Stegostoma tigrinum: one gene and its partner. The protein of the gene in region 1 interacts with the protein of each later gene in a biochemical or structural test. Links are inferred from orthologs where the notes say so. Each region holds a gene or a part of one and is shown in the gene's direction. Other genes may lie near its edges.

Region 1 (3,749 bases):
CTAAGAGCTCTCACAGAAAAACATCCCTGACAGCCAGATCAGCGGAAGAAAGACATTTACGACTGGAGAACGACAGAAGAAAGATACTTAGACTTTGACAGAGTAAATTTTAAATTATTTTCTTATTACTTGGGTTTATATAAGTGGGACTTGTGATTTTTGGAACAGCATAGCAGTAGAATTCAGTTCAGTTAGGGAATAGTAGTGAAGGGGAATTGTGCAGTTTGGTTGTAATTCTGTTAGTTTGTTCACTGTTAGGGTTAAGTAAATAAATTATTACTTATAAAACAAATATCATGGTTTTTCTTTCATTTAGCTGCCCCTTCTCTAAGTTTACTCCCTTTTAGGTGAGGTGAGGCGAGCTTCTCGGAATGTTTCCAGTTTAATTATTCGAAAGGAACCTCGACTCCTGCCTTAACAGATTTGCAGGCTTGTGTTTCGATTTTAAATAAGAGGGGTTCGACCTCTGCTTCCTAACAAAGGGTTGACCGTTTCAAACCGCTCAGCCTCGAGAATTCTCAAAATCATCTGAATATCTTTTTCAACTCCAAGACCTGCTGAACTTTTCCAGAAACTTCTGTTTTTTTTGTTCCTGATTTACAGCATCCGTATTCTTTCGTTTCCTTTTTCCAAATCGTCTTTGTCGAACGGAGTAAACGCCATCGCCTGGGGATTAGAACGGTGAGCATTTGGAAGTATAACGGAGCTAGACCGTTTACTATGGATGTAGCGAAGACGTGACTCACCGCTGCCAGAATCAGACTCATTGTGGCTGGGCTGGCGGCGCTGCTAAGGAAGTGACGCACAAGTCGGAAGCGGCGTGAGTTTGGCGCGGTCTCTGGGCTGTGGTGGCGTCTATTCGGTTTAGAATCTTGCACCCTTTTAAACATTCGAAAGCGGTGGCCTCGAGCGCGAGCTGAACGGTTGCCGCCGCCGAGCCCCACCCACCATTGTCCACACATCATGCCCCCCAAGTCGCTGAGGAGAACGGCCGCTGGTGGCTCCGAGGAGAGCATCTCTCCGGCCAGGTAAGGACGGGGTAACAGGGCAGCAGCTGTTGCTTTCGTCGGCCGAGCTCCCACCTCAGCCAGCCGCGGCCTGGGCACTGGGAGGGTGCAAGAGGTGTGGGGAATACTTGGGTGGTTACCTGTAAAGTGGCTCTCGAGAGCAGCTAATCCCCGCCCCCACGCGACATCTTTCTGTCTCTCTTTTTCGCTGCACTTGTCGTTGCCCTGTGCTTCAGTTTTGTGGCCCTTTACCTGGCTACTAGCCTTTTCCTTCATTGTGCAAAATCCCCGGGAACTTTTAAGTCGGATCGCAGCACCGCAGTAACCTGGTGCAGAACCCCACTGCTGACTCAGTGCTAATTCTGTGAGACCGACTCTGTGCTAAATGTCCAATTTCTACTGTTGTGGCAGTTAAAAAAGGGCATAATCCTCCGTAGGTAGCATTAGGGTAATCTTCCAAAACACCGTATTTATCACATGTAGTGTTTTTGACGATAGTCATTACCCAGAGAAGCTAGCAGACGACCCTTCAAATATAGGGTAATCGGTAGTAGCTGGAATATAGTATAATGCATCATTCCTTGGCAACAGCCTTTTAATTCACAATTTACTTTAGGGGAAAGAGGACTTCGATTTATACAGAGCCTTTCTCGACAGCGCAATACCCTGATGAATTTCTTTTGAACCGTAAGATAGTGAAGGGTTTCTGACAGTCAATTCCTCACAGGCAACTCCCTTCAACAGCAGTGTGATAAAATGTTGACGAGGTGAGAAAGGCTGAACTGGCTCCCTTTCTGTTTTAGCACACTACTCTTTCACACTTAAAACATAGTTTGGTAGTTCAGCATTAAGGAGCTAATTCCAAGGTTTTCTTGAGTGAGTGAAAGAAAAAGGAATTTTGCAACTTGCTAAGTCTGACGAAAAATCAATAAAACACATTGTATTCTTACAGATTTTACATTTTAAAAGGGGACAAGTGCCAAGTACAGACAAGAAAATAATGTTTCAGATAGTAGGAACTACAGATGCTGGAGAATCTGAGATAACCAGGTGTAGAGCGGGATGAACATAGCAGGCCATGCAGCATCATAGGAGCAGGAAGGTTGATGTTTCGGGCCTAGACCCCTCTTCAGAAATTGGGTGGGGGGTGGTGGGAAGAGGGTTCTGAAATAAATAGGAAGAGAAGGGGAGGTAGATAGAAAATGTATAGAGGAGAAGATAGGTGGAGAGGAGACAGACCAGTCAAAGAGGTGGGGATGGTGCCAGTAAAAGTGTATGTTAGTTGGGAGGAGATGGAGGTGGGGCTTGAGGTGGGAGGAAGGACAGGCTGGTTTTGAGATGTGGTGGTGGTGGTGGAGCGTGGGGAGGACGGCGGAGAGATTTTGAAGAAACCACGCGGAGGCTTGGGGACCGCTTTGCAGCACACCTATGCTCGGTTCACACTAAGCAACTGCACCTCCCAGTCATGAACCATTTTCAACTCCCTGTCCCATTCCATAGATGACATGTCCACCCTGGGCCTCCTGCAGTGTCACAACGATGCTATCTGAAAGTTGCAGGAACAGCAACTCATATTCTGCTTGGGAACCCTGCAGCCCAATGGTATCAATATGGACTTCACAAGCTCCAAAATCTCCCTTCCCCATACCACATCTCAAAACCAGCCCAACTTGTACCCACCTCCCTAACCTGTCTTTCCTCCCACATATCCCCTCCTCCCACCTCAAGCCCCACCCCCATCTCCTACCTCATAACTTTATCCCGCCACCCCCTGACCTGTCTGTCCGTGCTCCTTGGTCTGACCTATCTCCTCCCTACCTATGCTCCCCTTTACAGGCTCCATCCCCACCTCTTTGACCTGTCGGTCTCCTCTCCACCTATGTTCTCCTGTATCCATCTTCTAGCCACCTCCTCCTCTCTCCCTATTTATTGCACAGCCCCCTTCCCCTCCCCCATTTCTGAAGAAGGGTCTAGGCCCAAAATGTCAGCTCTCCTGCTCCTGTGATGCTGCTTGGCCTGCTGTGTTCATCCAGCTCTACACCTTGTTATCCAAGAAAATGATGTATCGTTTGAAGGTCCAAAGAGAAATTTTAATCTGGGACCATGGTTGTTTAATTGATGCCTTGAATGCTCAGCAGCAGCAAAATTTGTAGATATCTTTGACTTCTTGGTTAATGGCTGCTTCTGCAATTTGCAGTTCACAGACAATGTCTTCCAAAAGGCTGGTAGAAACCACGGGAAGGGCGAGAGAGAGAGCGCTTCCAGTTCTATTCTTAGAAACCCATTATTCCTTTCTACTTTGCCCAAAAGCTGTTGCTTGAAATATGCTGCATTTGCTTATTTCTGCAGCTGGCTTTATCTTTCTCTCAGATTGGACGCTGTAAGGGTGAGTCTTTTGTTCCACTATATAGAACTTCCAGAAAGGCACTGATGAAAGGTCATCAACCTTACGTTAACTCTCTTTTTAATTCTAGATGCTGCCTGACCTGCTGAGTGTTTATAGCATTTTCTGTTCGTATCAACTTCATAACCATTGCACGGTTTCCTGTCACTGAACCAACTTTAAAATCATGCTGGCACTGTCCTTTTTATTCACATGCTTCAGTTTTGCTGGTGCACACTTTTTGAAAGTCCATATGGACCACGTGAATCATATTACCCTTATGAAAAACCTGTTACTAATTTTTTAAAAAGTAGTAAAAACTCTTTTTGTCTTTGGAAAACACTTGATTTCTGTTATTC
Region 2 (3,749 bases), on another chromosome or scaffold:
ATAAACATAGTGTTGGAAAACATGTCAGCTACGATCTATTGGTGGAGCAGACTCTATGGGCCGTATGGCCAAATTCTGCTCCTGTATCTTATGGTCTTCACTTCCAAGAAAAACAACCCCAATCTGTCCAATTTTCCAGAATTTATTCTCACATGATTTAGAATTGGTGATGGATGCTGATGTTGATTAACAATGTTTTAATTGTAATGTTAACCCACATAGTTTGACATTGTATTTAAGTTCATTTTAATTGTGATATATGTAGTAGAACTCCCAGCTTCCAATAGTCACCTTATTTTATATTTAATTTTACCTTGTTGATTTTGACTTTAGGCTTGGGTTGTAATACCTGGGGAACGATCCACGGCAAGAGTCAAAACAAACACTTTAATTATTAGATAATAAGGTGTAGAGCTGGATGAACACAGAAGGCCAAGCAGCATCAGAGGAGCAGGAAAGTTGACGTTTCGGGCCTAGACCGTTCTTCAGAAATTGTTAAATTATCTGTTAATAGCACTAATTTGGTGGGGGTTGGGGTGGTTGTGGTAGTTGGTCTTCCTGTTGCCGAATGCTTATTCAGCTAATAAAATGTGAGGCTGGATGAACACAGCAGGCCAAGCAGCATCTCAGGAGCACAAAAGCTGACGTTTCGGGCCTAGACCCTAAGGGTCACATTTTATTATCTTGGAATTCTCCAGCATCTGCAGTTCCCATTATCTCTGCTTATTCAGCTATCTGTATTTATGACAGCCGATTGCATGAAGCATTGGACTCCCGGGTCTGGCACTAAGATCTGCCGACTCTGCACGCTTCTAACGCTTACAATAACCAACTTCCTCGCTAAAAACTAATCCTATGCGATTCATACTTGAAGTCGTACTATACCACTTTGGGCCTATAAATGCAACCCCCACCATTCAGTCCATGATCAAAACCAGCACCAAGCATTTTGCGCCACAAGATTATGTGGAAAAAGTTGTCGTCCATCTTTTGCATATTGTTTTCTACCTCCGATCCCACCCAGAAACTCGTGGAAAATGGGTGAAGCCGGAAAAAGACATTTACAACGGTTCCCGTGGAAGCGCCTTAAGGATTGGATAGATACGGCAGGAAAAGGGTTTCGGATCTTATATTTTGAAAAACAAAGGCCTTCGGAGAAAGTCTCCCCAGTTTTCGTGCCGCATCCTGCGGGGTACAGAATGTCGAGCGCTCAATTCTTTCCCAAAGATGCTACTTCTTTGTCGCCTTGGTAACACGCAGCCGCAGAACATACGGAAGTCAGGTGGCAGCCGGGAGCGTGCTGCGTTACCATGGCACCGGGGAGACGAAGCTCACGTGCGCCAATAACGGAAGGTGATTGGTGCGATTTAATAGACGCGGGCTGCTTGAAAGTAATTTGCTACACGATGGGAGTGGAGGGAGCTGCTTTTCGCCCGGAGACTAATTAGAGTCACTCCGCTATATAGGCTGGCTTCAGGCAAGCTCTTACACACTCATAAGTGTGATCTGAGAGGGTATTGCTTAGAGCTGAACGGCGGAAAAAAAAAATTGTGCGAGCTAATTTTTTTGTTGGTGCTGTTTAATTTATGTATGTAGCCACCATGTACAGGAGTAATTCCGCTGCTGTCAAGCGCAATGCTAATCAAGAAAATCAACATCTTGTCCCGCAGATGGGCCCAGTTAGCCAAAAGCAAAGGACCGTTTTAGGGGTGCTAAATGAGAATGACCAGCAGAGACGTTCACTTTCTCAGGTAACCTCTTCAGTAAATCCGCTATTCCTGGGGCTTCCATTCTCCCCCCCCCCCCCCCCCCCGGAATGTTCGGAGCTCTGCTATTTAAATCTATCGTTTGGAGCTCTTGGGCGATTTCGGCCGTTTTGCAAACTATCTGACCTTGAATTTCCCTTTTCTCCGCACCCCCCCCCCCCCCCCCCCCTCAACACCTAATGCGTTTCATTAGGTTTCAGCGAAAGCTTGCAGCACCATTGCAGTGGGGACTGACAATGGGTTCACTTCGAAAGGCTGCAGCACCCTCTCGGAATATCCGGCTACTTTTGTGTCCAACCCGAACTTCTCCATTTACATGGAGGATGAAGTCCAAGATGAGGTCGAAGTCTCTGAATGTAACTTGACCTCTGAACTGGAATCTAAACTTGGAGAAGTTGGCAACATCTCCAAACCAGCAGACGACTACTGTCTGCTCTTGGATCTGAGTGAAGGTAATTGCGAGACGCGAGCTAAATTTGTTATCGCTCGATTTGAGCTTTTTTTAATCGCGTTGCCTTCTAAAATATAGATTACGTTACTGCATCCGTTTTATTTTCGCTACTAACACGATTGGGTTCAAAACTTTACCATTCGAGTACATAGCCCTAGTTCTACTTTGTACACGTGTTCGAAGCATTCTGTTCCCAAACCTTCATTGGCCGTTCAATGTTTATGTCGTCTGTACAGTCTCGCCTATGATAGTAGATTCATCAATGCGCTCGCAGCGTTCACATGAAGATTCGCATCTACACGTAAATTACCTCGCCGTGGAAGGCTATGCAGAAGACATTTATCGGTATCTCCGAGAGGCAGAAGTGAGTCTCAGCAGCATGCGCTTTAATGTTTATTGAAATAACAACATTTTCGGCTGACTGTATGTCCTTCGCGGTTCTCCGCTGGCTTTGGTCATAGTGCTAGTTGTCCTGAGTTTTTTCCACTTGGGCATTCAAAACTCGCCTGCTGCGAAATCTACTTCGAAACAAGATTTAACTACGAGAAAGTCTGTATCGCTTATGAAACTGCTTTTGTTTCACTCACTCTTAATCTCCAGGCGTCCAACTCCGCTGCAGTTGGACTACAGGAAATAATCTAGTAGCACTAAGCAGTGTTTGTCTGGATTTCAGAGCAGACTTAGACTCGTAGTCTCCGCCCTTCAAATTCGTAGGCTCCCAGTTCATTCCCTGTGGGATGAATTTTTAATTCTGCACCAGGACTTGTCACTCTAGCAATTCGGCTTTTCTCATCCGCCCAACTTGGCGTTAATCGTTGAAAGTGTTTATTTTTCAGGAGAAATGCAGACCGAAATTTGGGTATATGAAGAAGCAACCAGATATAACGCACAGTATGCGCTCAATTCTGGTGGATTGGCTAGTTGAAGTTGGTGAGGAGTACAACCTACAAACTGAGACACTGTACTTAGCAATAAACTACCTGGACAGATTCCTGTCGTGTATGTCAGTCCTGAGGGGAAAGCTGCAACTGGTGGGCACAGCAGCTATGCTGGTAGCATCGTAAGTCTTTCTTTTTTAATTCTAGCGTGGGAAACTTGTCAAGTCGCTATCTGAGCGCAAACTTAAAACAATCGTGGCTGGAGGAATGCGCAGATTGCGTAATCTCGGCAATTTTAATACAAACTTAATCTCGAACGATCAATTTGTACACTTCCCCCCTAGGAAATACGAAGAAATCTATCCCCCGGAAATAGATGAGTTTGTCTACATAACAGATGACACTTACACAAAAAAACAACTCCTGCGCATGGAGCATCTCCTACTCAAGGTGTTGAGCTTTGACATGACTGTCCCAACAGTTAACCAGTTCCTAACGCAGTTTTTGAAAGAGGAAGGGATCGATGGACAAATGGGAAACCTGGCGATGGTATGTATCTTTTTTGCCTGGGTAAAATTCCAGTCCAACTCCTGGCCTTCTACAGGTAGGAATTCTACTCAAATTCTGAGATTTGGAAGACTTAAGAGCCCAATT

Evidence for each region. The genes of interacting proteins can lie anywhere in the genome.
Region 2: the proteins of rb1 (region 1) and ccna1 form a complex in vitro, tested with the Homo sapiens proteins (2 studies listed by BioGRID, with this or other methods). The link is inferred for Stegostoma tigrinum from reciprocal best matches to the Homo sapiens genes RB1 and CCNA1.

Annotation. Positions count from the first base shown.
Region 1 is NC_081365.1:72,796,942-72,800,690, reverse strand, and holds the start of rb1 (retinoblastoma-associated protein), read left to right. Parts: upstream 1-820; 5' UTR 821-963; coding exon 964-1,028; intron 1,029-3,749. UniProt on the Homo sapiens protein: Tumor suppressor that is a key regulator of the G1/S transition of the cell cycle. The hypophosphorylated form binds transcription regulators of the E2F family, preventing transcription of E2F-responsive genes.
Region 2 is NC_081359.1:85,062,668-85,066,416, forward strand, and holds the start of ccna1 (cyclin-A1), read left to right. Parts: upstream 1-1,413; 5' UTR 1,414-1,586; coding exon 1,587-1,751; intron 1,752-1,959; coding exon 1,960-2,218; intron 2,219-2,453; coding exon 2,454-2,581; intron 2,582-3,053; coding exon 3,054-3,277; intron 3,278-3,439; coding exon 3,440-3,644; intron 3,645-3,749. UniProt on the Homo sapiens protein: May be involved in the control of the cell cycle at the G1/S (start) and G2/M (mitosis) transitions. May primarily function in the control of the germline meiotic cell cycle and additionally in the control of mitotic cell cycle in some somatic cells.